Lonchura striata: one gene and its partner. The protein of the gene in region 1 interacts with the protein of each later gene in a pairwise test. Links are inferred from orthologs where the notes say so. Each region holds a gene or a part of one and is shown on either strand. Other genes may lie near its edges.

The links.
Region 2: the proteins of PRTFDC1 (region 1) and MCMBP interact in binary tests that used the Homo sapiens proteins (3 or more experiments, as listed by UniProt). The two-hybrid records come from large-scale screens. The link is inferred for Lonchura striata from reciprocal best matches to the Homo sapiens genes PRTFDC1 and MCMBP.

The regions. Positions count from the first base shown.
Region 1 is NC_134603.1:139,823,738-139,839,152, forward strand, and holds the start of PRTFDC1 (phosphoribosyltransferase domain-containing protein 1), read right to left. Parts: upstream 7,166-15,415; 5' UTR 7,137-7,165; coding exon 7,092-7,136; intron 3,514-7,091; coding exon 3,407-3,513; intron 1,466-3,406; coding exon 1,282-1,465; intron 1-1,281. UniProt on the Homo sapiens protein: Has low, barely detectable phosphoribosyltransferase activity (in vitro). Binds GMP, IMP and alpha-D-5-phosphoribosyl 1-pyrophosphate (PRPP). Is not expected to contribute to purine metabolism or GMP salvage.
Region 2 is NC_134609.1:27,492,631-27,508,343, forward strand, and holds the start of MCMBP (mini-chromosome maintenance complex-binding protein), read right to left. Parts: upstream 6,283-15,713; 5' UTR 6,173-6,282; coding exon 6,115-6,172; intron 5,592-6,114; coding exon 5,506-5,591; intron 3,909-5,505; coding exon 3,768-3,908; intron 3,465-3,767; coding exon 3,423-3,464; intron 2,972-3,422; coding exon 2,870-2,971; intron 2,400-2,869; coding exon 2,270-2,399; intron 1,656-2,269; coding exon 1,504-1,655; intron 810-1,503; coding exon 709-809; intron 1-708. Other genes in the region: SEC23IP (SEC23-interacting protein), read left to right, coding at 6,394-6,535, 9,918-10,441, 11,932-12,127, 12,728-12,921, 13,657-13,746, 14,903-15,023, 15,391-15,480. UniProt on the Homo sapiens protein: Associated component of the MCM complex that acts as a regulator of DNA replication.

The DNA of each region.
Region 1 (15,415 bases):
ATCTTCATACTTGATAGGAGATAACTCTGTAGGAAAAACACATGCATTACCTACATGCCAGATGCAAAATAAAACCCAATTTAAGTAATTCCTCTATTTCCTCAGCAGTGTTACAGAAGTGCTATTATAACCACACAAAAAAAAAATTGAGTAAAATTTCCATGTGCCATTATGTGAGACATTATATAACATTGTAATTTATTAATTATTTCTGTAATACTGTTGAATACCTAGAAAATGTACAATATTAGTATTTCACATGTGCTTCATAGAACTAATTCTTGAAACAGAAGTCCTAGGACCAAATCCTAACCAAATGGCTATAAAAGGTTCTCATTCACCTTTTTTCTCACAGTGAAAAAAAAGTCAGACCAGATCTGTGAAAGTTAGAAAAAGTTCATAGTCACTGGGGTCAGAAGAAAATGCCAGCCAACAAATTGTGGAAAGGCTGTAGAGTTAATGTGGGAACTACAGGACATAGCAAGCTGCATTTCTGCAAGACACCTTATTATCACTCTTATTTATTTAGTGTACTTCTTCAGACACCTCTACAACAACTTACTTATAGAAATGCTACCTCACTGTGAAACATGCACTGCAGGATAGGATACAAATTTATAGCTTCTACAGTAAGAAATTGTAGTTAGAGATTCTGAAAAATGCTGGTCTTCTCAGTATCATCCTTAGTGACACAGATAAATTATTATTGCATAATTTCCTCTGAAGATAACAGGAGGGCTTGATGATTACTTCAACACTGGATTTGATTGAATGGCTTGTTTCATAGTCTTGTAGAACACTATCATCATCTGGTGGTATATTCTGCTACTATGTAAACTGCATGCTATGAAGACGAAAGCATTTCATTTACTTAGCATTAAACATTTAGAAGAAGACATAGATTTTACCACCTTGCAGTTATGCCAAACTATGCGGGGGTAGAAAATGCAATAACACGAAATTAACTTGACAGAACTGCTGAGGATTTTGAGTACAAACAAATGCTGTCATTTTACATGAATGAAATTTGAATACTTCTCTGTCCAGAACTAAAAGATAGACTAAATAAAACAATAGAGGTAAAGGCTGCTTCATATCCTTATTCTTACTACTTACAAAGTATAAGGGATATGAGTTTTTAAGAAAACCTCACAGGTTTTTCAAGCAAAAATATTTTTCATGCATTTTTTCTTATAATTGGAGGTGGAGAACTCACATGCAAAAGTCAATAATTTATTATGGCATTCAACCAGAATCTACATAAATCAGTTGTTGACTTACGTGGTAACTTTTCAGTCTAACAAAATCGACTTTCATGGAGATGAACCTTTCTGAATTTCTGCTGAGATTTTTAATGTGCTCCACAAGATCAGCACAGAACTTGTAGCCACCTTTGAGGACACAGAGAACCACAATATCATTGTCTCCAATGTCTTGCATAATATCTTTCGCCAGTCGTTCTGTCCTGCACAAAAAAAAAAATTAGAGATAAAATAACTTTAGATGCAGATGCTCTAAGTTCATGGTATGCTTTACAAACACTATCATGACTATAAAGCTTGCTTGGCATTGCTTAAGTAGCCTGACTTCACAGAATCACAGAGTGATTTAGGTTGGAAAAGACCTTCAAGATCATTAAGCCCACCCTTTGACTGATCACCACAACGTCAGCCAGACCATAACAGTAACTGCCATGTGCAGTCTTTTCTTGAACACCTCCAGGAATGGTGACTCTACCACCTTCCAGGACAGTCCATTCCAGTGCTTGATAGGGTTTGGATCCAGCTCACAGATAGCAAAGTGATGGATGTAATATGCAAAGCACTTGATTCTAGTTAACCTTAAATGCATAAATTTCCCAGCTATACAAACAGGACCTACACATCTCAGCATATTTTAGGCTCATAAATATGTCAGAGACTCCAGAGAAAAGAATGTGAACTAGCCTTCCATTTTACCTCACAGGAATTATCAGTATAAAATATACCTGTACAAACCCCTAACTTGTTATGTTAGTTACTGCACAAGAACAAGTGGAAGATAGGGAAAATATCTGAAACTTTCATGCTGATTGGCTTTGGAAGATGCTACCCCTACAGTTTTAAGAAAAATATACATAAAAACTAGAATGAAATAGAGCATCAGTGAAAAGCTTATAAAGAGTGTATATTATCACTATTCTGTACAGGTCACTGCTTTGTACAGCAGAAATGAAGAGTGCAAAGAGCTTCACTGACTTGTTCAAGGTCCCACACAGGAAAATAATCAAGCAAATGCCCCAGTGAGCCTGGAATTGTGTGGTTCCCAAACAAAACCGTCCTTTCAGACAATTCTGTATGGCAAACACAATATGGCAGATGATTGGAAACAAAGGGTACACATTTCTGCCATGCAATGCTACATACATTTTTAAGATAAAAATAATAAATATTAATCTTAGTAATAAATGTAAATAATATTAACTTTAAATATAGTGTTTCTAGACCCCCAGTAGGGTACTGGGTCATTTCTAGATGTAATGAAGTATCAATAGGAAACTTTAAAATGTCATTTGATGTTTTGAGGAAAAACAGCTCAGCAAATTATATTCTGTAAACACTTCCACTGGAAAATTATTTTATAGCTCTCTGACTTAGATTAGTAGTATCAACAAGAGTGGACTTGTTGACAGGATACAATTTATTAAATAACCCCATAATTTATCCCATATATTTTATTATTACATTTTTCAGGTTTAGTTGTTTTCTTTATTTCTCTATCAACTGCAATACAGAAATCAATTTGCCGCTACATAAGTACATTGATTGGTCTTTAGTGAAATCTGTGCATGGAGCAGAGAAGAATAAGCTCTAGACTGAAGATAATATATTAAGTATGAGAAACAGCTGTTGCTTCATTTCCACATATTTTATTTTTAATGCTGTAGCAAATTCCATATGGCTATAATTAGCATATTTTAGATGAGAAATAGAAGAGATTAGAAAAATTAGATCATCTTATTTGATCTGAAATATATAATTCCTTTTAGTGTTTTAAAAATGAGGATCACTTACTTTACTGAAGATTAATAAAATAGTCTTTTATCATCTTTATCAAGTCTGAGAATGGGGAAAACCTCTCATTAAGAAACATTTATTTGATTAATTTTTATTTTTTATATTGTTCCTCAGATTGGTTGCAGCTAAAATTTCCAGGAATTCCAAAGACCACTTTGTATGTTAAAAATGTAGGCAGTCCAGGACAGACAAAAATGTACTAATTTAAATTTCTAAATAAAAATATCCAAGTTTTTAACTTATTTTATTACAAAAATCATACATGTACGGTATATGGATGACCACCTTTATAAAAAAGAATAATACTACTGACCAAACAATTTATTTAGTAACATTCAAGCAACACATACCTGTCAACAATAATGCCATGAGGAATGAGCACATATTCCAGGTCACCATAGTAGTGTTGAGGGTAAGTGAACAAATCCAGACTGTATCCAGGCCAATTGTCTGAAATCTGAATATCAAATAGTACTGTCAAGAACACTTCGTGGTGTTTGACCTTATGTAACTGATACAAAATCAGCATTCTAGTACACTCTATTGGATGAATTCATTGTGTGCCATAACTTCTTCCAGTTACAATTTACTATTTTGCTTTTCCCATTAATTATTTTGCTTCTCTGTATAACTCAGAAATCAAATGCTACATCTTTCTCCCTACAAAGTGTGGGAAATGTCACCTGAAATTACAAACAACTAGACAGACAAAGGAAATATTTAATACTAAACTAGTGGCAAAAATAAGTTTCTAAGTACTTTCAAATTCAAAGTGCAAAAATAATAGTGCCAGTAAGAAGAGATTTTCCAATGGGACATTCAGATGTTGGAATAAAAGACAAAAAATTCTATATTAAAATTGTGCATTTCTAGTTTAGAATGACTTAAAGTTATAAATAAATAGGTAAGTATTCTACAGATGAAACAGCACATTCAGAGAATAATTTATGTGTTTCATGGATGATATCTGTACAAATCAGTGAAAAACAGTACTTCTTGTCAAAGGTGAGGTTGTTAATTTAGATGTCATCAAATACGAGTGATTACAAAATGTTTGCATCTCACCTCACTATGAAACTAGTCTGTAAATCCATATATTTACATAAAAAATATTTTACAGACTTAATATACATTGGTTTTGTAAGTATCAGAATACAGAGATTAGATCTCACAACATACAATAGTGGTAGAGATTAAGAAGGTCAAAAATTAGCCAACGGTTGAAGGCTTCAGAAAGCTATGAAATGCAAAGTCACCAGCACAAAAACTACACAAACTCCAAAACAAACATTTTCCCTATTCCTTATGAAAGACAAGGCTTTCAGATAAGACAGGTTCACAAGGTACCTTGAAATCATTGCAAAGCTTTGCTCCAATACTGGTTCAGGATAAAAAGCAACACCTAATAGGTTTTCCTTACAATCATATTCCTCAAGTCACACATTTTCTACAGCCTGGCTACAGGAATCTTGATTATAAGGAGAAATGGAGGCAAACTTGCCATTGTGCAGTGCATATCTTAGTGGCATTTTTGCTACAGTCTTTAAAGGACCATCACTGAAATTAATCTCTCCTTACCATTTTATAGTAGAGCACTAAATTGTTCCTCACAGTTTTGGCTAAGATAACATATTTGATGTTGAGCTGTCCTTCACATCCCCTCTTCTTTAACTCAGACACAGCCCTGCCTCTTGCTGTACTGAAACACTGTTCTGCTTTATGGATTTTGAGTTTCTTGGGGGCTTTTTTTTCATATTCATTGACAGTTACAGGCTCCTTGACTGGCACATTTTCTTAACTCTACCCAAAATTTTCTGCATCAAAAAAATTACTCGTTGGCTACTGAATATTAGTCCATGAAGGGCATGACTGGGAGAGCACTGGAATCAATGAAAGCTTTTCCCCTGACTTACACAAGCCTTGAAACTACACAGAAGAATAAAAAGTTACTTAGTTGTGTTCCTCATTTCCATAGAAACAGGAGATTATAAAGATCCTCCTTGGCGAGCTTTCTATTAGAGAAAATCTTGCCCCAGAAACACTGCTGCAGTCGGCCTGGAAAGACTATTTTCCCATCTACTTCTTCAGTGCATGAGGAGGCTGGAAGTTTTTAAACATTTTGTAGCAATGAACGGTCTGTTCAAAAGCATTTTAATGCAAACTGAAACAATTTCATTAAGTATTACAAACACCCACTAGCAACCCCTGTCAGCGTTGCTTACTTCTGCATTCTTGGCAAATTGCATGTTTTCAGTGTGATGCAGAACAAATTAAATGGATAAAAATTGCTTTAGAATTCATACAACCCAATAACTTTTACTTAGGCTACAATAAGTCCTTCATAAAACAGGATCAGGATGAAATTTTCATTCTCCCATTTATCCTTCTAGAATAGCAGAACATAGTGTAACTCTACAATAATATTGAAGTTCTTGTTTACAAGTGCTTGCTGGCATTTGACAAACAAGATGAAATTCACATGTACTTTCAAATTAATTATTTGTCTGATATAATAAGCCTTTTTCATATTCCTCTTTCTTTTAAACAGGCACTTCCCAACAAGTCTAGGAAATTCTCATTTATCCTAAACCTATTCACAGTGTTATGCTGTAAGACAATTTTCAAGTAACTGTCAATTCTTATGACTATTCTGTTTGAGAATTTAAAAATGAAGGAAAAAAAGTCTCATTGTTTTCAGAAAAAAAAACAGTGTTCAACTGGATAAGTAAATATATATTCTAAATACATTGGCATATTTGTCTGTAAAACATTCCTACAGTGAAATAAAGACCTACTTTTAAAGTTCAGGTTTCACATGTTTGAATAGCCCATCAGATATTCTTCAGTAAGTCTTTAAAAAGTTGATGTGAATGGATACAAAGAGGAATATAAATACATGGCAATATCCAAAAGCTTTCCCCTGAGGCCTAAGAGACAAGCTGAAGACATTCAACACCTTTAGAAGAATGTTGCTCATTTTCTTGTCTGGCAAAGTGAGCACAGGTGAGGTTTGAGCTCAGTCCTCGGCTCCAAAAAGCATAAAGCAAAGTCCAGCTTTTGTAACTTAAATAATGCTGCACTGGACTTATTGCTGGTTGGGTTTTTGGGGAGTTGAGCAGAAATATTAAATCAGAGCACCAGAACATGGTCATGCACATTCATGTCTGACTTTGCAATAACCTCCTGTTGCTTGATGATACGCACAGTCACCCACTTAAGGAATGTAATTTATTACACAGGTGTCAGGAGATGTGGCTGATGTGTGGTGTTTTCAGACAGAGCTCGAATACATGGAGACAGGTCCTTCAGGAGGGGGATGAAAGAGATGTTGGAGTGGACAGTGTGACCACTGCCTACACAGAGCGTCCTGTGCCATGATCTGGGCAGCTGACCCGTGAACTTTCTGTTAAAATCCTAATGCCACATTGAAATAAGAACATACCTAAGGTGGTGGCAGTGATGGCATTTGCTTCACAGGAGAATCTGGTGTGTCTATCAGAATAAGGATCACATTCATTCATTTTTGCACCATTTATCCATCCCTACAGACATTTCAAGCGCATGCCAAGGCTCGGGCTATTTCCCACCCCAGCAAAACACGGGCAGCCCAACCCTCTCCCAGAGGCCTCGCAGAGTTCCGGTGGGAGCAAGACACCTCGGGATGACCGAGGAGCCTCATCCCCGGTGCTCAAGGAGCCTGGACGGGCACAGGCTCGGCCCCGGGGCCGCTCGCGGCGGCACCGGGCCGTGTTTTCACGGCGGAAGCCAAAGGCGCGGCTCAGCCCAGCCCGCCCGTCCCGCTCCGGCGGCCGCAGCGGGGCCGGGGCCGCGGGCGCGGCGGGAGCGGCGCGGGGCGAGGGGAGGCGGCCCAGGCGCCGGCCGGGGCCGGAGGAGGGGAAGGAAGGGAAGGGAAGGGCGCGGAGCTTCAGCACAAAGCGCCGGGGGACATCGGGGAAGCGGGCCGGGGACCGGGGAGGCACCGCGGCCGGCGAGGGTCGAGCGGCCGGGCCGAGCCGGGCCGCGCTCCGCATTTACCACAATGCCGCGGCCTCCAGCGCTGCTGCCGCCCTGCCCGGCCATGTTCCTGCGCGCCCGCCCGAGGGGCTGCGGGGCGGGGCCGCGCCGGGGAGCGCGGCGGCTGCGGTGCTGTGCGGGTGAGGGGTGAGGGGTGAGGGGTGAGGGGTGAGGGGTGTGGGATGTGGGGTGAAGGGTGTGGGGTGAGGGGTGAGGGGTGTGGGGTGCGGGGTGTGGGGTGAGGGGTGAGGGATGTGGGATGTGGAGTGAGGGAGGCGGGGTGAGGGATGCGGGATGAGGAGTGAGGGATGTGGGGTGAGGGATGTGGGGTGAGGAGTGAGGGATGCGGGGTGAAGGGTGAGGGGTGAGGGATGTGGGGTGCGCGGTGAGGGATGCGGGGTGAGGGGTGCGGGGTGTGGGGTGAGGGATGCGGGGTGAGGGATGCGGGGTGAGGGATGCGGGGTGAGGGATGTGGGGTGAGGGGTGAGGGGTGAGGGGTGAGGGGTGTGGGGTGAAGGATGTGGGGTGAGGGGTGAGGGATGTGGGGTGAGGGGTGTGAGATGCAGAGTGTGGGGTGAGGGGTGTGGGGTGAGGGATGCGGGGTGAGGGGTGGGGAGTGAGGGGTGCGGGATGTGGGGTGAGGGGTGTGGGGTGAGGGATGTAGGATGAGGGGTGAGATATGTGGGGTGAGGGGTGTGGGATGCGGGGTGAGGGGTGTGGGGTGTGGGAGGCGGGGTATGGGGTGAGTGATGTGGGCTGAGGGTTGCGGGGTGTGGGATGTGAGGTGAGGGGTATGGGATGTGGGATGCGGGGTGACTGGTGCGGGACAGGCGGTGCAGGGAGGGGGGATGCAGGATGGGCGGTGCGGGATTCAGGATGCACGGTGCGGCGTGCAGGATGGAGGCTGTGCGCGTATAGGTACGGTGGGAATGGTGGAAAGACTTGGGCAGGGCTGGCCAAGAGGCCTGGCCTGAGTTAATGGGTAATATTAAGCTGGTGTGGTTTAAACTGACGGTTTAACAGGATTTTCTTATACTCCAGGGAAGATAAAATGAAATTTCCAACAGTTCAGTAATCATACTTTTCATCCTCTCTGTCTTGTGCAGTTGCTGCTCCTTCCCATCACCGTGCACATGCAGGGGCAGGCTCTGTTTTCCCATTGCCCCCAGCCCATGCCCATGTTGCCTATGCTCTCTGTGCAGTTAGAGATAAACAGATCAGGCACCAGGAATAGTACAGCTTTCTGCCACTCCCTTCCAATTCTGTTAAAATTATTATTAATATTCTGCTTTCACTGCCTCACAGATCAGAAGGAGCTTGTGTTTTTTCTTGGCTTACTCTGATCATTACCTGCCTTTATATTTCCATATAAGAAGTTCAAATTTGGACTTGCTCCACTCTTTTCGTATCCTGTCTTTTGTGGGAAATGGTAGCAGCCTCTCTGCCCACTGTGGATAAAAATAGAGTTTTTAACTTTCTTCAAATTGAAAGTCGGTCGTAATTTCTAGTATCAATCTGTCAAATACACAGCTGGTAGAATTCTGCCATTCCTATACTAGAAATATTAAAGGAAGAAAAAGTTGTTTTTATGGGAGACCTAGGCATAGTGAAATATTCTTAGTGCTGCTTGAAAGGCTCTCAGCAACCAAGTAGGAAACATTTCAGGTTTGAACACTGCTATTGTAGAATGTGGTCATTGACACTTCTGGTCACAACAGATGGATCCAGAGGGCAGTTATGGGTATATCTGCACAGGGAGTTTGTCATGTCCTATGTGGACTAGTTTTCAAATACATTCCATTTATGCACTTATATTAGAACTGATAGGACAATTCTTAGGAATCTGGTGTTAAGAATGCTTCTATAAGGTAATCACTGATTAAAATCTGGTGAAGTACTAGAGCAGTTGAAGATTATCTTGTGATAAATGCTTTGCTTCCTATAGGAAGCCAGGGGTTTTTGATGAATTAAGAAACTATTCTTTAATGAGCTATTGCTACAATAGACAGGATGTCTGAAAGAACAAAAGGTTTACAAAGTGTCAGAAGTCCACTCCAGAATCTATCTGCCTTAAAGTGGTGCCTGCATATGAAGACTCAAGTGCGCCAGGAAAAAATAGTTCCTCTTCACAGTGCTGTAAAATAATAAGTAGTGAATCTGATAAACAGCATATGCAGACTTGTACAAACCTACATAAATCAAATAAAAATAATTTGGTAAAATACATAAGAGATTTTTGTAATGGACAAAATCCCTAAATAGATTCACATTTTAATTACATGTCAACATTCCATACAACTATTGAGAAGGAAACTTAAATGTTTCATCTGATTCTTTGGGTTAAATGCTCCTGATACATATCCACACTTTTCAGGATTTGAAGACTCTTGTCTGGAAGGATGCCTCCTAAAGTCCATATTTGCCCTAAAGCTAGTGCAGTCAGAATCAGTTGTCACCAAGTTGCCAATAAAGTTGCTGTTGCATTTAAGTCACAGTGCTGAACTCTAAGGATCTGAATCTATTTAGATTACAGATAGAAACTCAAATTCTGCCACTGCTATTTGGGTTACTATTATCAGAGCTTTCTGTATTTTTTAACCATATTCTTTATCAGACTACTGCAATATAAGAGATAGTTCAAAGCTTAATGCTTTGAAAAACATGAGCAGGACACTTAAAGAATAAATTCCTCCAGCATTGTGCTGGAAAACTTAAGCAGGAGATCGTTTGTTCTTCCCATCAGGATTGGATGAATGTGTTTGTCAAGTCTTTGTTTTGATATTCTTATCTTCCAGCAATTTTACAGGGCTTGTTTAAGAAGTGTAATGAAGTGTCATGTCTTGCTAATAACAATAAATATGAGTAAGGAAATAAAAAACTAGATAAATTCAGCTGGGGTACGCTTTGATAGTACTGCTGTCAGCAGCCACACACCCAACCCACAAAGCTGCTCTTCTCCATGAAAGATTTTTTCATTGGCACAAAACACATTTTGTTTCATTTTGTTGCAAATGACACAAATTCATGGTTCTGTGAACTCACAGAATTAGTAGAAACCAGAATTAATGAGGTTCTTTGTTCATGATGGAAATGAAGCTGCTCAGGATTTTGTTATGGAGGAATGTATACTTACTGAATGCTTACATTTTTTTACAGTCTGAACTGGTATAGAATGAATGAGTTTACAGTAGGCTTTCAAAACTTATTTTAATTATGGCCAAAATATGATTAGTGAAAGCATGATATTTGGGGCTTAACTATGAAAAAGTCTGTAAACATTCTGAAGAATGTTCTTACTATCTTTGTTTAGCTGTTTGTTTATTAACTAAAAATAGGAGGAAAAGAATAAACATTTCTAGATATACAACCAGGGGAAATGATCAAAGGGGAGAAGAACAAAGAAAATAAGAGTAGATAAAACTAACAAGTAGGACTGGGTAGGTCTGGACACATAGCCAAGAGCCATAAAGGAGCAGATGGAAGAAGTGACACACAGAGAAACAAAGCAGGGTTAGGACTAATACACAAATCTCATGTGAATATATTTACATTTTTGGCCTTTACACAATTTTATAATTTCAATTAGACATATATTTCTCTCTTACTGTGTTACTAAAAGTAGGACATCCCCACCCTTTAACAACTTTAATGTAAAGAAATTATAAATATAAAAGGTTGGGGGGCAGGGATATACCAAGAAAGCAGTCCAATGCACATATTATTATGGAGTTACCTGTAAGCAACCTTTACAACTGCATTATGTCTTCTGCTTCCAAGAAGCTATAACAAACATTTGACAACTCAGTTTGATATGTAAACACCAAAACTAGACAAGGAAAGCATGAAAATCCAGAATATTTCAAGAGGTATGGCTTACCTAGACAGAAGCTTGCCAATTAGGGGATGAAGTAAGAGCTTTTTCTGGTTCTGCCTGTTGCTGCAGCTGTTATGTGAACAGCAGAACTGTAAACAATCTTATCAAGCATAAACTTGCATTTCTTAGTGGTTAGAAAGTAAGCTACAGCACACACACCCCCAGTTGTGGCAAAGACATTTTTGGGTAAAATGGTTACTGAAGAGATTATTAAAAACAAAGGTCTAGCATATGTACAGTACTTTAGGACATGTTGGAAAGAGTTCTAAATTGTTTGCATATCCAGTTTTAATATATTCCAGAATTTTGAGTTCTTGTGTATTACCTGAGGCAGTGACCCAGTCCACAGGGTGGCTGCTGGAGACCCTGAGTGCAGCAGAACATGTCTGGCAGACAGTGTTCCAGACATCTGGGAGAACATGAAGCAGGATTTCAAACCATTCCCCTACAGCAATGAACACAGGGAGGCCATAGAAAATGCTGCCCCATTAGCAGGGCTAGGGAGCATCCTGTGATGTGCAGCACAAGAGATGCACATTGTTCTTTGTGACTCCTGTACTAGAGCAGGTGACAGAGTGGCTCTGCAGGCTGGAATCTGGCTCCTGTCTACTTCAGCAGAATTACCATCATTTTAGAGGAATTAGAAAGTTTAGCTTTGAAGCAGTTGCAGCATTTAAGATCTACAAGGGAAGCTTGGTCACAGTTAACCTGTACTAAGTCTGTGAGACTGACTTAGGCTTTGAAAATTAACTGGAGTAACTTTGATATCAAGAAAATGGCTAAAAGCTGCCATTCAAGATGTTAGTCTTATTTTTTCAAATATTTATAACCTTCAAATCACTGTTAGGCACTGCTTGACAGAAGGCTGGGCTTTGACTTATTTGGTCTATGATAAACATCTTTAATACAAAACTACATTTTTGTTTGTTATTAATCTCACTGTGCCAAACTAGAGCAGCGAGCTTTGCTTTGCAATTTCCTGACTCCTGAAGATACCCTTCCTGCTTTTCAGGTTCATGTTAGTAATATAAAGTCCTTATAGCTGAAAGAAATGCAAACAGAAATTTCCTCTTGTCCTTCAGTACTAGTATAAACTTTATATTCTTTATAATATTATGGAAATATTTGCCCTAACCAGCTATTTAGAGGTATTGATGTTTGAATGATAAAGCACTATTTTCAAGGAATGCGGCTCACATCATATCCTATGACAAATTCATCATGCATGATCATGGAAACTAGTCAGGGAGTTGTAACTATATAGTGGGTCACACCCAAAGTAATGAATTTAACTGTTAAGAGTTTGTTTTCTTTTTAAAGGAGGTTGTTCACTTGGTTTCATCCCTCTTTTTAACTTTTTTTTTCTAAATTCAAACAAATATAGAAAAATCTACCATAGAAAAGAATTCAGAGTGTCTTAAACAAATAAGCAAGTAACAATTTAAGGGTTTTTTTCCTTCCAGAATGGCTCAGTTATCTTTGATATAATTTTGTATACTTCAGAGCTTGCCTAGAATAAACACTGCAGTAACAAAAGTGTATTGAAAAACAGAGTCTGGTCCCAAGAGTTCTCCTGCTGCACAGGACAGTGGTTGTTCATGGACAGCCTCTGTGCTCTGTTGCAGCACAGAATGACCCACAACCTGATGGTGCTGAAATTCTGGATATGGGCCATTTACTAATTTTATTGTTTGTGTAAAACACAATTCATTCCTCCTGAGCAAACAGCAAAATGTGGTTGTTTCTCCCTTGTGCAGTGCTTGAAGCCACTACTGGAGTTTTTTCCTCCGAAGAGAGAATTACTACATTGCTTCCTCAGCTTGAATATGGACCTCAAAGCAACATGAGGTCCTTTAAAATGGACCTCAAAGAATAGTTCTAGAGGTATTTATCAATTTTTACAGCCACTCTTGGAATTAGAAGATTGAGTCACTTGAATTTTCCATATGGGTGCTCTCACCTAGCAAGACTAAATTGATCATTAATTTTAGTAATTTTGAGTCACAGTGCTGTTTAGGCTCAAATCATAGTTCTAACTTTAGGCACATATATCCTATATTTAAAAGAGATGGGCTCAAATTGCATGTCAGAAATACCAAAAATGGGAAATGCAGTATTAATGATTATCAGTGAAAATACCAGGTATTAAGTAATTTACCATTACATTTCAAAAACATGCTATGACAAAGACATGAATAGATCATACTGCTCCAGGGAATAAGTTAAGTGCTTTAAATCTCATTTCTCTTCCTTCAACTCCTACTTTCCAGTTGCTGAAACAAATGAAATGAGGGTTCTTGGAAAACAGATCCTTTTAGTAAACAACAAGAATCTTATTGCACAGTCTTCATGGCCAGATGAGCATATTTGTTATTACTGTTATTATAAGCACATAAGAGCTCTACTAACAGACAAAATTGTGTCAGACACTAAGCAAATAGAGAAAAACACAACCCATATGACAGATAGCTTAACAATCTAAGACAAGAAACAACAGGCTACAGTGCTGGGGGGGAGTTAAAGGAAACTGCACAGGTCAGCAACATAAATCCTTATTTCAGCTCACCAGCAGCTCAGCTGTTGTTAAATTGTTGATGAGCATCACTGCAAAAGACATTTGAGGAAAGATTTGAATACAAAATTATTCCAGTGTTTGCATGTTTCTGTGAATTTCTTCATGCTGTGGAGTCAATGTTGAGGATGGTATGGCATAATGAATTAACACCACAGGCTGGTACTGTGACTGAACAGCTCACTCTCCTAGCAGCATCAACAAGACCAGGATACAGCTACTATTTGGCTATGTCTGCCTATCTACAACTATTTGTGGAGGTACAGTCTATAAAAAAATTGTGTTTCATAACTTGCTGGAATATGTCACATTTATATCAGCACCCTTTAAACAGTAAAAAAAAAAAAACCTACAAAAAATAACTCATGCTGCATTCCTACCATAACACCACTTCTTAGCCTGGAAGGTGAATACTGTGAATTTACTCATATTTTGTCTACATAGCTTTGCATGACAAGAAGGAGCAGGAGGAGGGTAGAGATAGTATGAAAAACCCTACAATCTAGGCATTCATGTGGTCATGTGTACATCACCACCTTGGATGGCCATTCATGGAAGGAATGGCCATTCCTCCTTGGCTTAGTCATGCTTGATACACACCTGGATCCTGGAGTGGACAATGCCAGCCAGCTGCAGGGCTCAGCAGCTGCCTTCCTTGACTATGGCAAATGTCAGACAACCTTAATAACAGGGTTTGCCACCTGTCTCTCCTCTAATTATGTCATTAATATTATAAGCATCCTAAAGCTGAGGATGAAAGTGTGGACTAGGGTTAGCATTTATCTAGGATCCTATTAATCTGCATATATGTGAAATTTTCTTATCTGAAAGATGTCTGCTTTCATTAAGTCAGAAATTCTTAGATATGTTGTGTTGCCTGAAATGGATGCCAATGAAAGGACTAGATTTTAGCTTCATGGCAGAGCCATCACAGCAGCAGTTTGCAGTACCAATTTTCCACAAAAATATACAAGGTGTCAGAACATGCCCTCCCACAAAAAAACCTACCTACAGAGACTAAGGAAAATTAATTCAGTGGCAAATTTCTCCCATTTTTCCCACTGAATTTTGTGAGTGGAACAAGGTTACCTCTCTAGGTTTTGAAGACCTGTCCCAGACTTAGTCCCCAGGAATGCATGCAGAGCCCAAAAAGCCACCATGTCCAAGATCAGCCACATGAAGCCCACATGCTCCTCTCAGAGCTGATGTTTGCTCGAGGCAATCAGGAACTCCCTCTGTTTGTGACAATGCCATATCTGATCCCTTCCTTCCTGAATATAAATAGTTTCATTCTCAAGAACAGCCAGGGAGATATTCATCATAATTTCACCTTGCTATTTTTAAAAAATAGATACACAGCTTTGTCATGCACAACTTCCAACAGGAAATGTTTTCAGTTTGCGGGAACATAACTCTTACTGACCCACAGATTATTCATGTCCCATTTTTCATGTTTTATTATGGTTATCCAATTAATTATGAACAATTTAAAATTACCAATTTTATAATTATTAAATACTGAAGCAGTTCTTTGTTATTTCATTGATTATTAGTAACTGACTAGTGAATTTAAAGGATGTTTCAATGGTAATGCCACTTTTTAGCCTGTGGACAGACTTGTTTCTGGTAATATTTAATAGCTTTTATGAGGGAACAATTCTAGCAGAACAATTTAGTCTTTTCATCTTTTTTATTTTGTTATACCAATGGTCCATATTAGTTGATTCACGAACACTATACTTTAGATTACTGGCATTTCCTGAACATATAAATACAGTTACATTCTTTGGATTATGTAAATCTATTTTGTCAAACTTCCCAGAGAGAGCTAAAGGATAAGAACTTTATCCTTCTGCATGCATTTCCAATCATTTTCATTATATTTTTTTTCCATTATCA
Region 2 (15,713 bases), on another chromosome or scaffold:
TCACATTGCACTCTGGGTATTGTACTTGCTAGACAGATGAACAGACTCACCAACAGAAATAATTCAGAGTGTAGTGGTACATCAGCAGTATTTATGTTAAATTTTGGTAAAGAGTTTTCTTTTCACAATTGACTTCTTGCATCCTAAATGATTTTGTATTCTGTCAGGCATGGAATTGCAGAACAGCAGGTGAAATGGGAAGTTTCTATCAGTGGATTAAGAAGATGGGATTATAGAGAAATCAACCCATTTTTTACTCATTTTGGTTACTATCACTGTACATGCAGACATGCAAACATTTTTTTCTTATATTCTTCAGAGTGTTTACTTTTCTGGTAACAACCTTCATGGACTTTGAAATTACTCCAAAAGGACATTTATAATTTTAAAGCTTCCTTGAAATATTTGTTCACTATTCACTCATTCACTGAAAATGTTGTACACATGAAAGAGTACAAAACATTTAGCTATAGAAGCATTTTCTGCTTTACAAGAGTGTACAACCTAAAAAAAGATGCACTGGGTATCCAAGGATATGGATGTACCAGAGCACATTGGACTTCAGTTTCCAGGATGCTGGATATAACACTTTCCTCATCAAGCTATTTTAAAGCAACAAAATTCACTTCTTAAGCATAATTATCATGTACTTCCACATTTCCTTGTCTGCTCACTGCAATAAAAACCTGAATTCCAGCACAGCCTTACCTCTCTTCACTGTTCACTATGCTCAGCACTGGGTCCACAGACAGAACACCAAACACCTCCAGCACATCATTGACTTTGAAGCTCTCCCAGCTCTCATAGACCTGCCCCAAACAGAAAATAAAATGCTGAGGCAGATGGGCCAGATGCAGGACAGCAGAAAAACTGTCGGACAGGAAATTCAGGAATCTCAACTCTGGACTGAGAACAGTCTGAGTGAAGAGGTGTCCCCTTGCCCTCAGTGTCAGTGAGCTTACACTGGAAAAGGGAGTGTTATGACTCCACACTTTTTCTATTGGCATTTTTTGCCACATGAGTGCCAACAATTGTATTCTACTCTGATTCATCAAGATTTACAGAGTAAGAGAGAAGTCAATACAGCAATAGCAGAGCAAGTTTGTGTAAAGTTTCATAGTAATATAACATAGCAGTGAATCAAGGACTATTTCAAATTCAATACACCAATGTGTAGTTTATTGGTTTTTCAGCTTGGTTTTTCACAGCTGTTTTTCAATTAAATACCAGGGCTAAATACCAGCTGCACCCTGGAATCTTTCCTTTTAAACTAAGTGGGGTGAGAAGGTGCAAGCTCTAATAAATGCTGCTGAAGGATTTCAGCAATTCAAATGCAGCACTCAAGAAGAGAAACACTGTGTTAGTGAAGAGAAAGAATGTAATTATCTCTGGAAACAAAATTCTGGACTCCAGACACATTTCTGTGCCTACAAACCAGTGCAAGGCTGATTCTGCCTGCCTCACAGAGACCCCAGCCCTGCTCATCACCTCTCCATCTCTCACCTTTACAAGACATGCTGGTCCCTTCTCTCCTGGCAAAGGAAAATTTAGGTCAAGTGGAGGGGAGCAGTTGGGAGAAATGACATGATGACCTGCAGAAGCTTCTGTTTCTAATCTCTTTGGCTCCACACATCCATGGATATCACTTCCACTGCCTGAAAAACACAGGATTTACAGGCTTAAAAACAGAAATGCAGAGCTGAACAACTTTCTTTAGTAAGCAACACAGAGTAAAACTAATTTAAGAAAACATCTGAGACAAGAATATTTAATAATGCAATATTCCTGACAGAATATACTCTTGATATGAGAAGTCTCACAAGTGCATATTTTATGTAATCAAGTTAAGTGTGGGAGAGAGTACTGGCAAAGATCTATGTGTCATGGACAGAAACCTGATTGTCAAAGAAATTTTTTTCTGCAGTGTTTAAACCAGGCAATTTTTTTTTTTCTACAGTCGACAGGACTGCAAAGGTAATATTTTTCTGCATTTCATATTTAAAAAAAACAGGTAAGAATATGCATAAAACGCAGTTTATATTAAACATTTCTGTAGATTGTCAGCAAGTCACACAACACACATACAACACTATGGGCTCTCCCACACTCCTTCAAATCAAACCACTGACTTCAACAAAGCCTCCAAATCCTAAAGGCTGCAACAACAATAACAATGAAAACAGCTGGCAAAATATCTGTTTTTAGCAATGAATTTTTGCCAAATCCTGGAGAGATATCAGAACAACTATTCACCACCAGCAGCTCTTACCCATGTGTTGCTCCTTCTGTTTGGAGGGATGCAGATCCATGTCCTCATCCTCCTCATAGCTCCTCTTGTGCCGACTGGGGGTGTAGGAGGTGGAGGGGCTCACTCGGGCATGGCTGGCACTGATGTAGGCCTGGGATCGAGGGTTAAGGAAGCCACAGGCTGAGCAGGGAAACCTCAACCACACTAAGGTTTAGTTGTTGGTTTTTTTAACAAAATCCTAATCTTAACACGCTCAGTTACAGGTGTTTTATAGGAGACTCTTACTGTGAAACAGTGTCCTGCTGCAGAAAATGCCAATGGCTCAATTAAAATTTCCCTTTTCCTAAGCATTAGCAACTAGAAATGAACAGAAATTTTCAAGACTTTCCCAAGCAAAAACATCTATGGAATCAAAACTAATGCTCCTAAATCAATTTGCATCCTCTTTGTGTATATTACACGCCATCAACTTTCCTTTTTTCCTCTTTCTACACCTATCACCTCTCCAGATTCACTAAAAGAAAAAAAGAAGTTTTAAATAACTTTATCTCCTAAATCTAATTAATTAGTTGGTGACCACTGATTGTATAACAAAACACTGGCTTAGTCAAAAAAAGATATTTCTTTCACCCATGCTGATTCACCAGGCACTGGAACACAGTAGAAAGTTTGTCTCTCTGAGGTGACTGTTTGTGAGGAGTTCAAATCAAGTTCCTGCTGAGGCTGGAATCCCAAGAGAAATTTTGTTAAAAATCTGATTGCAATTTGTTTTCCTTTTTTAAACTAACCCCACAGATTCAGTTAATCAGCCAGAAGTTACAATTAACATGTAAGACTACATAACTCAGGAAATATGAATATATAATGTTTTGATTCAAATTGTACTGCACTACCAAAAGTAACTGTTTTCCACAGCAGGCAGTTTCAAGGTCATGGGCACTCCCCCTTCCACTCAACCAAAACAAATTTTAAATACAAGAGAAACAGCTGGAAGCCCACTGAAATTAATGCCAGTGAGCAGTTATGAATACTCTGCTTTCCAACCCAAAGATTAACTTTGCATTTAGAGCAGCAACTTCACTGTCAAGTACCAAAGAAGCTCTGTCACACTTACAAAACTACAACTTTCCACCCAATATTTGTTCTTTAAGTTCATATAATTTTTATAACTTACCCCACATTCTGCCACATCTCTGTATTTACCAAAATGCAAAACCTGTCAAGAGGGAAAAAGCAATGCAATCATTCTGTTTCTGACAGCATCCGGAATATGAATCACACCAAAATCACTGAAGCCCAAAGTCCCTCACAGACATCCTGCCAAACCTTTCATCACTTTAACATTTTCTATTCAACAGAAATGTAGCAGGTTATTTTTTACTGATGCCACTTGAGCTGAACACAGTTACAGTCAGTGTCCACACTCCATAGGTTTAACTCACAAACTACAGAAATACAAGGACCAGAATAAGTAAAATGACAAATATTTGCTAAAATAGTAACTCAGTATTTCACTTACACGTGCATTTGTGTTTGGGTCAACTGTTTCATACACTCCCATGTAAAACTCAGGATCAAACATATCTTGAACCATGCAGCGAAATTTCACTAAGCTGTTGGGTTTTAGGTAATGTACAGGAACATCATTCAGTGATGGGACCTGAGAAAAAAGAGATTTTTCTATGCAACTGGTATATATTGAGGCAAAAAAAGTGAGCCAAAACCAGCAGTAAAACTTAATTCTTTGACCATCCTCCTCCTCAAACCCCTATACACACACACACATATATATATATATATATATATATCACACTTAGTATTTTCTGAGTGCATCTCCCATCCTAATCTTAGCACCAACAAAATGTTTCTATCCCAACACCTTCCTGCAATGGCTGTTACAATTATCAGGAAGTTAACAGAATTAACAGTTCCCAAATTCTTCCAGTTCCAAATACTGAAAGAACATCTTCCTATAAAAGAAGCTGTTACAGGTCACTGGAACTGTATGAAAACTGTACAACATTTGAAACCAAGTTTTCAATTTCGAATTATTGCAGCTGCAGGATTAAACAGAATTTTTCACTTATCTTATTTCTACTTAACAGCACTTCCACCTCGTGCTGTGTACCAGCAGTACTAGAACAATTTGCATGCACAATTGCCTATAACAAAAGGTCCTGGAAAACCTGTATGTTAATTTCCAAGTCAACATTGGGGAAGTCTTTTTCACACAGTTTTACATGACAATGGGAAAATAGAAGGGAAAAAAAAAAATCAACGCCTAAGCACGTGGTACAACTTCAAAGAGCAAGACTTGTAATATGAATAGAGTTTTCTAAATTTGAAGAGAAAATCTTTGTTGAAAAAGCCCACATCCAACATTAAAATGCAACAAAAGTGGCCCTATAGGAAGTGGCATTTTAACAAAAGTATATTGCCTCACGGTATTTTTTGAGTAAGAAAATATGATTTCAATTCCTTCTGATGTGGTAAATTTTACTCAATTTTGCCATTTATTAATGGTAGCTTTGATTTAAGCCACCATTTAATACTAAGTACACAATACTTTCACTGACAGAGAAATAAAACCAACAATTTTCACCTGGTTTTAGTCATAGGTAGAACAGATTTGATATGAAAGCTTCTAATCCCCTTATCAGTCCCATTATGCCATTTCTGCTACAGCCTTTTAGGAAAGTATCAGCTTTTGAACTCCACTGTTCACACTTTATTTTTAAAACCTAAAGCACATCTTCCCGGCTAAACTGCACAAACCAGGCCTGACCCAGCACAGTTTTAGTAGGAAAAGCATTTTTTCCTTAAAACCTGAAGGTCCAGACAACTATTTATTCAACCCACACAAGTGTGCAGCATTGTGATAAAAGCTCCTGAGACAAGAGGTTCATAACCAGCAGCTGGTGGTGCACAGCGAGGACTCGCACTTCCCCAAAAATGACAATATTTGTCATCGCCTGCCATCTACTGACTGTGCTCCAGAGTGGCAGCAGCAATGGCCTGGGGGAAGGAGGGTGCTGAAGGCAAGGGCATGGGTGGGCTGGGATTTCACATCCTGGCTTTACACTCAGGTTAAAGCAGCCGAGGTGCAATTCCACATCCCAAAGCCTGGGCCTGAAATTCAGCTGCACGCTTATCACGAAAAAGCAGGACTTATCAAAAGCAAGCCACTGCAATAAAGTGTAATAATAAACAACGAAGCTTAAAAAAAGTGTAACTCGAAAAGAATAAAACACTCTCACCCAGTTAGTAGCATTGTTTTCTTTTAATTTCTCCTTGAAGTATTCGGTTACCTTCTTCTCCCAGTCAGAGTTCGGAGCATTTTGGGCTACAAAAAAAACCAAAACCATATCGATGTGCCCATTACCACCACATAAGAGACTTTTACCCAGCATATCGAACAAACCCAACTTTCACTTTTATTTTACGGAAGTGCAGCTTAGACTAATTTACTCCCCTTGCAAGTCACTGACTTCCCATTTCAAAGCCTTTAAGGCCAACCAAGAAGCACAGAGCCATTCCTGGGAGCGAGGGAAAGCTCCGCATCGCCCCAGCGGGGAAGGGCAGGAGCCCAGGCTCCGCTTTCCGCGCTCTGTCGGCTGCGGGAATTTTTATGTCGGTGTTGTTTTAGTGAAGATCAAGCCCAGCACGGCCAGAGCCGCGGCTGACCGCGCTGGTAACATCAGGGCAGACAGCGCGCCTTGCTGCAGAACCCAGAGATACACGGAGAACGCAAAACACGCTGTATATAAGACATACACGACATAAGACAGAGAATCTGCCCCGCCACCACCCCACGAGGGAAAGCGCCCTCCGGTTCTCCGGTTCCGGGCGCTCCCGCCCTGCCTCACCGAAGATGCCCTGCACGATGCTCAGGGGGCTGTTCAGCCAGTCGCCCACGCACGGCATGGCGGGGTGCCCCGCGGGGCTGCCGGCACCCTGCGGCCGCCGAGTCCCTCCCGCCAGCCCAGCGCGGGGATCGCCGCCGCTTCCTCCTCCCTCCTCCTCTTCCTGCGGGAATGGCGGCCGCGCCCGCCTCCCGCCCGCCCCTCACGGCTGCGCGCGGCCGCCGCCGCCATCTTGGGTGCGGGCGGAAGGGGCCGCGGCCGGGACGTGGCCGGGGCGCGGCCATGGCGGCGGCGAAGCCCGGGGGAGGCACCGGCACCAACCTGCTCTTCTCCTCCTCCGCCACCGAGTTCAGCTTCAACGTGCCCTTCATCCCCGTCAGCCAAGCGCCGGCCGCGCCGCCCGGCCCCGCGCTGCTGCCCGCCGGTACGGAGAGAGAGGGAGGCGGGGAAGGAGCGCAACCGGGAGCGCGGGGGATGTGCGGGGTCCCGCCGGCAAAGGGAAGGGCCGGGAGAGTCCCCAGAGCCGAAGTGCCCCCAGTGCCGCTTTCCGGCACTTAATTTCTTCTGCTTCCCCCGCTTGATGCGTGTGTGTGTGTGGATTTAGCGCTGTGCCTGAGGACGGGCGCTGATCGTCGCGCTTCCGAGGTGTCGGTGCTTCCATTCAGCACGTACTGAATGTTTCCGCGTTTTTTAAGCTCCTCTCTCACGTTATCTTCTGTTTTCCGGGTTTGAAAATAGTACCTTAAGCAGCCGCCTTAAATATCCTTGCTAATTTAATCCTGGTTCTAATATCCTTTTCTCCTAAAGCTTTAATGGTGTTCCCAACACATGCGCGTGCAATTTACAATCTGGTGTTCAGGCAGTTTCAGATAAAGGAATGGATTTTTTTGGGAATGTATTCAGTCAGAGATTAAAGCTTGAAACATTAGAATGCATCTAGAAACAAGATATTTGAAATTTTACTGTATTGTACGTGTTGGGATTGGACTAATGACCTCTGAAGGTCTCTTTTAACCCAAACTGTTTTATGCTGAGTCTTCAAGACTTCATTTCAACTGTTGTATCTTAGCTGAAATAAGAATTAATATGGCTGGCAACCAGTGTAGTACTTCTCTGTAGATTTAATAAAACGTTTGCCAGTTATGGCTTTGGAATAGTTTTTTTGGATCGACTACATTTTTTGGATAGGAGGGATAAAAGCATTAAAAGATTATTTCTACTTACTTGAAGTATCTAGGTAGTTGATACATTTACTAATTCCTTTGTACAAGCATTATAGTTTTTCTTTCATGCAAATACACATTATATTTTCATTAAGAAAATAGAACAATTTTTAAGTGCTGATCTAGCTAGTAGCTTTATGCAAATGGCTGTCCTGGCAATTTCCTGAACATTTTGAAGTCAGCCGAGGATAAAATCTGATGGGATTTGATTAACGTGGTGAATCTTATTCTCTCCGTGTAACTTAAAATTTGATCAGGTGAGGATTCATGGTCTTGCAGGTGGAGTGAATTTCAGTGTCAGTCCAAGTAAGGCCCATGTCCTGTTAAATGTTCTGTTTCCACAGTCAAGTGTACTCACCATCTGTCTAGCCAGGTGCTGTTGGGATCTTCTTGCTGAGTGGAATATTTTGTATTTGTAGTCATGATTTTTAATTGTGTAAATGTAGTAAGAATCAATCCAGGGATTTGTTTGACACCTGACAGCCAAGATTAGGGAGCTGTGTGCAGGCATTCATTTGTTTATCTGTCTCCAAGAGTGATTAGTTAGTGGTGTGAGCTATGCAGTTTGACAATAAGATGCATTCTCTGGCTCAGGTGTGGGTGATGTAATCAATATATTTACTGTAAGGTGGGAGGAGTGATCCCAGTGACAACGTGGACTGATGTCACTTGTGGTTGTGTGGTGACAGTCTGTGAATGACAAAGTTCTGCCTCGTGTGGGGAGGGATGTACAGGAGGTTGGCACACTCACAGGTGAAGAAAGGCTGTTCTGTGCACGGGGAGAACACATCAAAGCTATACACCCATTTTTAAACATTTGTATGACGTGCTTGTTTTTACAGCGTAGTTTTTGCAAAATTAGAAAAAGTCCAGATCAACAGTAACTTTTTGTGTTGGAAAACTGCATGTGTGTGCATATATGTACTTATAGGGGTTTTTTAGGCAGAGCTTTTGTCATCCTCATTTTGCAAGGAAAGCTGCACTTAGGCTTAAATCTCCAAAACCTATTTGGAACTGGAGAATAGTGGGTGCTTTGTGAATATTCATTTGCTGAAGGCCCTGAGAGCTCTTGGGCACACTGCTGCATGTTTGTGGTGGCCTGACACGGCGAGGTGAAGGGCCTGCTCTGCTGCCAGTTGTTTGGGAAAGCTGAGAGTTGACAGCATGGTTTGCAGTGTGATTCTCTCTGTCCCACACTGTTTATGAAATGTGAAAGACCTTTACTTAGTATGCTGAGACCTTTTATTTAGTATAAATGCCTTATGCTTGCAGCTGGGAAATGATCCCCAGGCCTGACTTCAGAGTGGTCACTGGGTATAAGTGGTTTCAGTATTCTCCACACAGAGATTTTGGCTTTGTTCCTCAAAGTGGGATCAAGTGCTGGAAGGGAAAGCAAGAGGTATTTGAGGCAGGTGATGACACCGTCTGTACAGACTAAATAAAAGGTGGTTAAAATAGTTCTTTTTAATCTTGGCAGCTGCCTCTTTTATGATTAATTAATTAGAACAGCAGCTTCCTAGGGAGACTTCTCCATGGATTCCCCTGTACTCCCTTGATGCTCCCTATTACAGTTGTGTTGGCTGTGGATAAAGGCATTTGTTGTTGGCTGCTCGCAGCTGCAGAGACTCTTGGTCTCTCTGCCTGGGCACTGAGCAGCAGAGATGCTCTGTGGTGTCTCCCCCGCAGCCTGGCATCATTTGATTGCCAGACAGTTGAAACACTGCTGGTTTCTGCAGATGGCACTGACTCCTTGCAAGGTGCTGTTCCCTCAGGAGGCATCCCAGCCTGAGGTGAGCTTGCTGTGAGACCTCAAATCATGACAAACCTCCTTTGTTCCCACTTGTTCCTAGGTCACCGCAAAGTAGAAAACTGTGATTGGTCAGGAGTTCTTTTACTTATTTTCTCCATGTGAAGGGGCATTCATGGCCTTGCATATTTTTAAATCCTCTCTTGCAATTATGCAGAATGATTTTTCTGCATGAGAGATGTGGCTTTTATGCAAGTCTAGAGTAGGATTTTTAGAGCGAACTGGACTAAGTCCTGCTCATTAAGTGGCTTGGGATCATGAGTTATGGCCACTTTGCAAACAGATGAGAAACCTTGAGAGGGCTCTGCTGAAGGAGCAGGCAAGAATGGATGGTTTAACCTGTAAGGTTGGCCTATTTAGGAATGTTTTTAAGCTCTATCCTAAAAATAGGAGCCTAAAGTCCTATGCTTAGTAGCTGTTTTCATGTTGAAAGGATATAAACCGAGGTTGTTCTTGCATTTGAGGGATAAGTGAAGTAGGGATTTTAGTGCCTGTCAAATTGCCCTGGGAAAGTCCTGACTCCAGTTATATTTTGGTTTCTTATATAATATTTGTTGCTTTTTCTGTGTACACTGAGTGACTTTCATGGTCCATTTTAAATGTTCTTGAAGACTTGGTATCTTTTGTTTCATTTTATGATGTGCTGAATCAAGGATGGGTAAATGTTATGGAGCCCAACAGTTTTGGCCATAGCTGATGGTGTTGCAGAACATTTTGACCCCATACAGTGATTTGAAGCTCTCACAAGATCTCTGGTGATCCTTTTGTTTTTGCAGATGATTCTGCAGATGTTGGGGAAGAGGACAGCTTCTTGGGTCAGACATCAGCCAGCCCCAACCCTCCACAGACTTTCAGCTACTTCTCTCAAGTTCCCAGCAGCAGTGATCCCTTTGGGAGTATAGGACAGCCACCCTTAACAACTGTTTCAACACCTGTTGGAGCACCAGCCTTCTCCAGACCTCCCACTTCACTTCCACTCGTGTCTGGGTCCCAGGATGGGCAAAATGCCTTTTCACCACATATTCCCAAATCCCAGTCTTACAGTGCACCACCCCCTTCCCAGGTGGGAATGGCGCCGTACCAGCCCCCTCAGCAGAGCTGTCCCCCACCTGCCAGCGCTGCCCTGCCCACAGGGACCCCGCAGCAGCAGGGCTACAACCCCTACAGGCACACCACCCTGAGCAGCAGGGCCAACCCCTACCTCACCCCTCCCCAGCTGCAGCAGAGCCATCCCCCTGCCACAGCATCCCCTGTGCCACCTGTGCAGATGTACCAGACACCCCCGGGGCCGCTGACACAGGTACGTGACTCCTTCCAGCTGCCACAGCAAAACAAGGCACTTTCCTCTTTCAGCTGTGTATTTAATCTTTTGAAGATTTTTCTTCTCTGCAAAAAAACCCAGAAGAAGTCTTGAACCGTTTACAACAGCAAAAGCTTTTCACTAGAAGTAGCTTGGAACTGTTGTTGCAGGAAAACTTCCTGATCTTTGAAGTGAGTGTATCCTGAGGCTGTAGCTCTGTCAGCCTCTGGGCATCAGAAACAAAGCCAGGTTGTGAAGTTCTCTGGCACTTTTCTGTGGATTTCTGAGTTTGCTGAGTTTCAGCTGTGTTGCTGCATTTTTTGTGCCTCAGCTTTAAATCAGGTCATTCAGCCATTTCAAAGATATGGTCTGAAATCTCTTTTTAAGCTGGTTTTGTTGGTGAAGGCAGAATTTTTTCAAACTAAATCACATAAAATTGTCAGCAAATTCTTTGAAACACATCGGTTGAGGATTTTGTGTGATATAAAGCGATAATCTTCATTGTTTTCTACCTGCACAAAAGCATTATTAAAGTAATGCCAATGGGTTAATAAAACCTGGCACGTTTGCCTTGAAGATACCAAAAACTGTTTTTATTTTTGCCTGAGCTATTATTGTATATCTGTTATTGTTAATGAAGAATGTGAAGGTTATATAATGACAAAGCATAGCAAAGGCAGTAGAACCTAAACAGTCTGGAGTTTTAGATTGTATAATTTCAGAACTTCTATTTATTGGATTTTATATATTCTACAATACTTTCCTGCCCTTTTTTTCCCCTTCTAATGTATAATTTCAGAACTTCTATGTATTGGATTTTATATATTATAAAATATTTTGGTGCCTTTTTTTTTCCCCTTTTTAATGTATTATCAACCAGTGCAGTTGCTGCTGCTGACATGAGTTGATTTAGTTGTACTGACTGGGATTTTTGTACAATTTGTATGAAATCAGCTTTATGTAGGCTGCAGACCCTTTCAAAATCAGTTACCTTTCTTGTGCCACCAGTGCTACATTTGAGTGTGGAATCTTCCTGTTCGGGTCACTTTGCAGGAAGAGAGCTATAGCTGAAGTGGCCACTTGTTAAAATTGGGAGTCTTTATGCAAAAGCATAATTATGTGTAAATAAACAATGTGAAGAATATGTTTTTATTTTCATGTCACATTTTGTGGTTGTAAGAAACAAGTTCAGCTCTTTTGAAAATTTAAGAGAATATTTGAAATCTCACTGATTTTAGGTCATCATGATGCCAAACCATGGTAGTTTTTAACAGTGTTTATAGAAATGAAATTCACGTTCTTTCACAATTTGAGAAGGTGTAAGTTCTTAAACACATGATGAAGTGGAGAATATTTTTAGAATGGAAGGTAATGTTCTTGGGGAGAAAAGCATGTTAGAAATAAAGGTTCAGAATATTTCCTATAGTAAAGTATAAAAGAGTTCTGCAAAAACCCTGTGAGACTGAGAGGCTGAGCCCGTCTTTTTTCAGTTTCCACCGTCCCAGTCCCAGCTCCAGCCTGCCAGGCCTGCAGGGCCCCTGGTCCCAGCCCCTCCTGTGCTGCTGCAGAACCAATATGAGCCAGTTCAGCCCCACTGGTTCTACTGTAAGGAGGTGGAGGACAAGCAAATATGGATGCCATTCAGCATTCTGGATTCTGCAAAACTAGAGGAGGTCTATAATTCTGGTAAGTCCTGTCTTATCCAGAGGTGAGCAGAAGGACTAAAGCAAAATGTTGGGGTAATGCCACTTGTGTGTGGCAGTAATAAGTAATGTTTTGTGCCAGTTAATTTCACTGACATCACTGCCTGATGCTGTGATCTCAGTGTTGAGATGTACCATCCCAAATAAGTATCAGATTTTCATATAGAGCTCTTTGTTATTTGTGTCTTGGGTGTTATTTTTGTTAAACTTTGTCAGTTCTGGAATAAGTATTTGGGAGTTTTTCCAAGCTTTTTGTTATGTACAGAGCATATGGGAACATTCTAGAAGCATCACAGTGTTACAAAGCTTCTCTGCCATGGTGTGACTGTCAGTCCTAATGGCCTCATATTGATCACAGGAGTGGCTGGGGCTGGGCTGAGAGAGCAGAGATGTGTCAGTGTGGTAAGCACACCTGGCTGTGTGTCCCAGCCCAGCCTGACCCCAAGAGCACAGAGCAGAGATGTGTCAGTGTGGTAAGCACATCTGGCTGTGTGTCCCAGTCCAGCCTGACCCCGAGAGCGTGGTGCTGAGCACAGGGCAGAGCTGTGTCAGTGTGGTAAGCACACCTGGCTGTGTGTCCCAGTCCAGCCTGACCCCGAGAGCGTGGTGCTGAGCACGGACGGCGGCCGCTACGACGTGTTCCTGTACGAGCGCATGAGGAAAGCCGTGTACTGGGACGAGGAGCCCTCGGAAGTGAGGCGCTGCTTGTGGTTCTACAAGGGAGACAAGGACAGCCGCTTCATCCCTTACACTGAGGACTTCAGTGACAAGTTGGAGGTTCGTAAGTGGCAGAGACCTTGTGAGTTCATTGTGTTCATCACCTTAGAAACAGTTCTGTTTCATGAAGATGAATTTCAGAGTGCACTTTCTGGAACATAAGAAAATCCTGGAAAGAGGAGTGACTAGAAGGCCACATTGCTCCCACATCAGTCCTGCATTGCTGTGACTTAAAATCTATTGAAACAGTGTGACCCCCCTGCATGGGGAATAACGTGCTCTGACTCCATGTTGCAGAAAGCTGAATTAATTGCTTTTATTAAGCTACATTATATTACATTAATACTATACTATACTAGAACTGTATCATACTAAAAATATACTCAAGAAAAGCCCATGATTATCTCCAGACAGCCACGACACAGCTTTTTCCAATTGGCCAATTGATCCAAACAACCATCACTGGTGTCCAATTAATAAATCACTCTAAAGTAAACAATCTCCATAACACATTCCACATGTGCCAAACAGGAGCAGTGAATTGAGATAAGAACTGTTTTCTTTCTCTGAGCTTTCTCACTGCATCTCACAGCTTCCCAGGAAAACTCCTGGGAGAGACTCATGTCTCTCTGTGTTTAGAGAATGTGAATACCACAAAAATCTGCTTGAGTAGTTTTACATGTGACATTTTTATATAAAGAAAGTTATGTAAATTTTAACTGTAGCATTACATGAGGCTACAAAATACTGAGAAGGTTGCCATGCTGATTTTGTGTAACTTGTTTTCTGTTTCAGGCAGAATATAAAAGGGCTGTAACTACAAATCAATGGCATCGGCGACTTGAATTTCCAAATGGGGAGACAATTGTCATGCATAATCCAAAGGTAATGGATTTTGGCAATTGTGTCTTACGGGATTCATTAAGGGGGAGTGAGCAAATGGATGGAAACATAAATTGAATTGGTCCTACTCTTGCATGAAACATACCAGTTTGTTCTAGGTGTGTGTGCATTAAAGTTGATCAAGTTTACAGAACACTAAACTTGTGCTTGCTTCAATGTGCTGTCATGTGGTTAAAAGACAGTGCTTTCTGAAACCCAAAGAGAATAAGGGTTTGCATAATAAATATTTTGGCTAAGGATAACTGGCAGCAAATGGTAAGCAACTTGAATTAGTTTAACCTCAGTCTATATCAAATGAAATTAAAACAAAGAGCTTTCATATGGAGAAGAGCATTAATCTAGCTATAAGGTAAGTAGTTTCTTTAGGGCCTGAGAAGGTTTCTGCTTATTTGTAGGCCATGAAAAAGTATAGCAAGACAAACTTTAAAAGTGAGCAGTCTCATATTCTTCATGAGACTTCATGGACTTCAACCTTATTGATCAATACTGTTAACTGTTCACTTATCACAGATACAGTAATTAATACACAGACCTATCCAAGGGACTGAAAGGATCATGGTTGCTCCTAGTTAAAGTGTTTAATAATCCTGGTTAGGGAATTCTGTCCACTAAAAATCTAGAGAAGGAGTATTTAAGCCACTTGATGTCATAAATATGAGTTGAGACTGTAAGTCCTATAAACAACTGTACTACTGAATTACTCACTTTTCAGTTTTTTTTGACTACTTCAGATGCTGTTCTTCCCTGAAAAGCACTGCACTTATTTATTTCCATTTTCTCCTTGTGGTAGGAGAAAATACCTATAAATCAGGTAGCATTCAATTTCCTCACATTAGCAGTCATCTGCTAAGGAAGAGTGGATACTGGAGACTAGGAAGGAGGAGCTTGAATAATGCTTGGCTGAGGAGTTAAAATGGTTTAGAATCACTGAACAGGCCCAGCTTCTTCACCTAGTGGTTACTTGGAGTCATCTGTTTTCTTTTCACACTAATGAGGATTTTGTGGAAGAAAACATTTGATTTTCAGATGCAAGGTAAAGCAATCAAAAAGTATGTTCAACCATGCAGTGCTTTCAGACTTAACAGTGTGAGTCATGAGGTTTTACTGTGGTTTGAATTTGACACTGTATTTGTTCCAGGTCATAGTTCAGTTCCAGCCTTCTGCCACACCAGATGAATGGGGCACCACTCAAGATGGGCAGGCAAGGCCAAGGGTAGTGAAACGTGGAATTGATGATGACCATGATGAGATTCCTGATGGTAGGTGATGAGATTCCTGGTGTACTTCGGACAGTCTGCACTGGGAGCAGTCAGTCTGGATCTGTGCAGAAGCTGGACAATAGTGGGTGGAGTGGCTGTGTGCTGTTCATACCTGGAGTCTAAAAGTTAAATTTATTCCTTCATCTCAGCTGTTTGCTGAGGTTATCTGGTTTTGGGGTATTTTAATCAAAGGAGTCCTGTGGGCTCTGTTATGTCCTGAACCATGTTATGTAAAAGACTTTATTAAACAAGTGTGTATGACACTTGCTAGACACTGAACTTCACTCCTGCTGTACATATTGGTACTCTGAATGTTTTCCTTTTTTTTTTTTTTTTTTTTTTTTTTTTTTTTTTTTTTTTTCTACAGGAGAAATGTCCCAAATTGACCATCTAGTATTTATGGTTCATGGCATAGGTCCTGTATGTGACTTGAGGTTTAGAAGCATTGTTGAATGTGGTAAGTTTGGGCTTGTATAATGAGCAGTTATATTCTTGCTGTTTAAATGTGGCTCTCTCTAGCTCATATTCAAATAAGCATATCTTTATATTATTTTTTAAGAAAAGTCTCTACAGTTAACAAATTGCATTTTTTCATTATTATTTTCCAAAGGCAGAATCTGTGGTCTGTCAAACTTGAAGGTTTAGCTGTTATTACTAGTACTCAATATCACACTTGTTTGGTGATTTGGG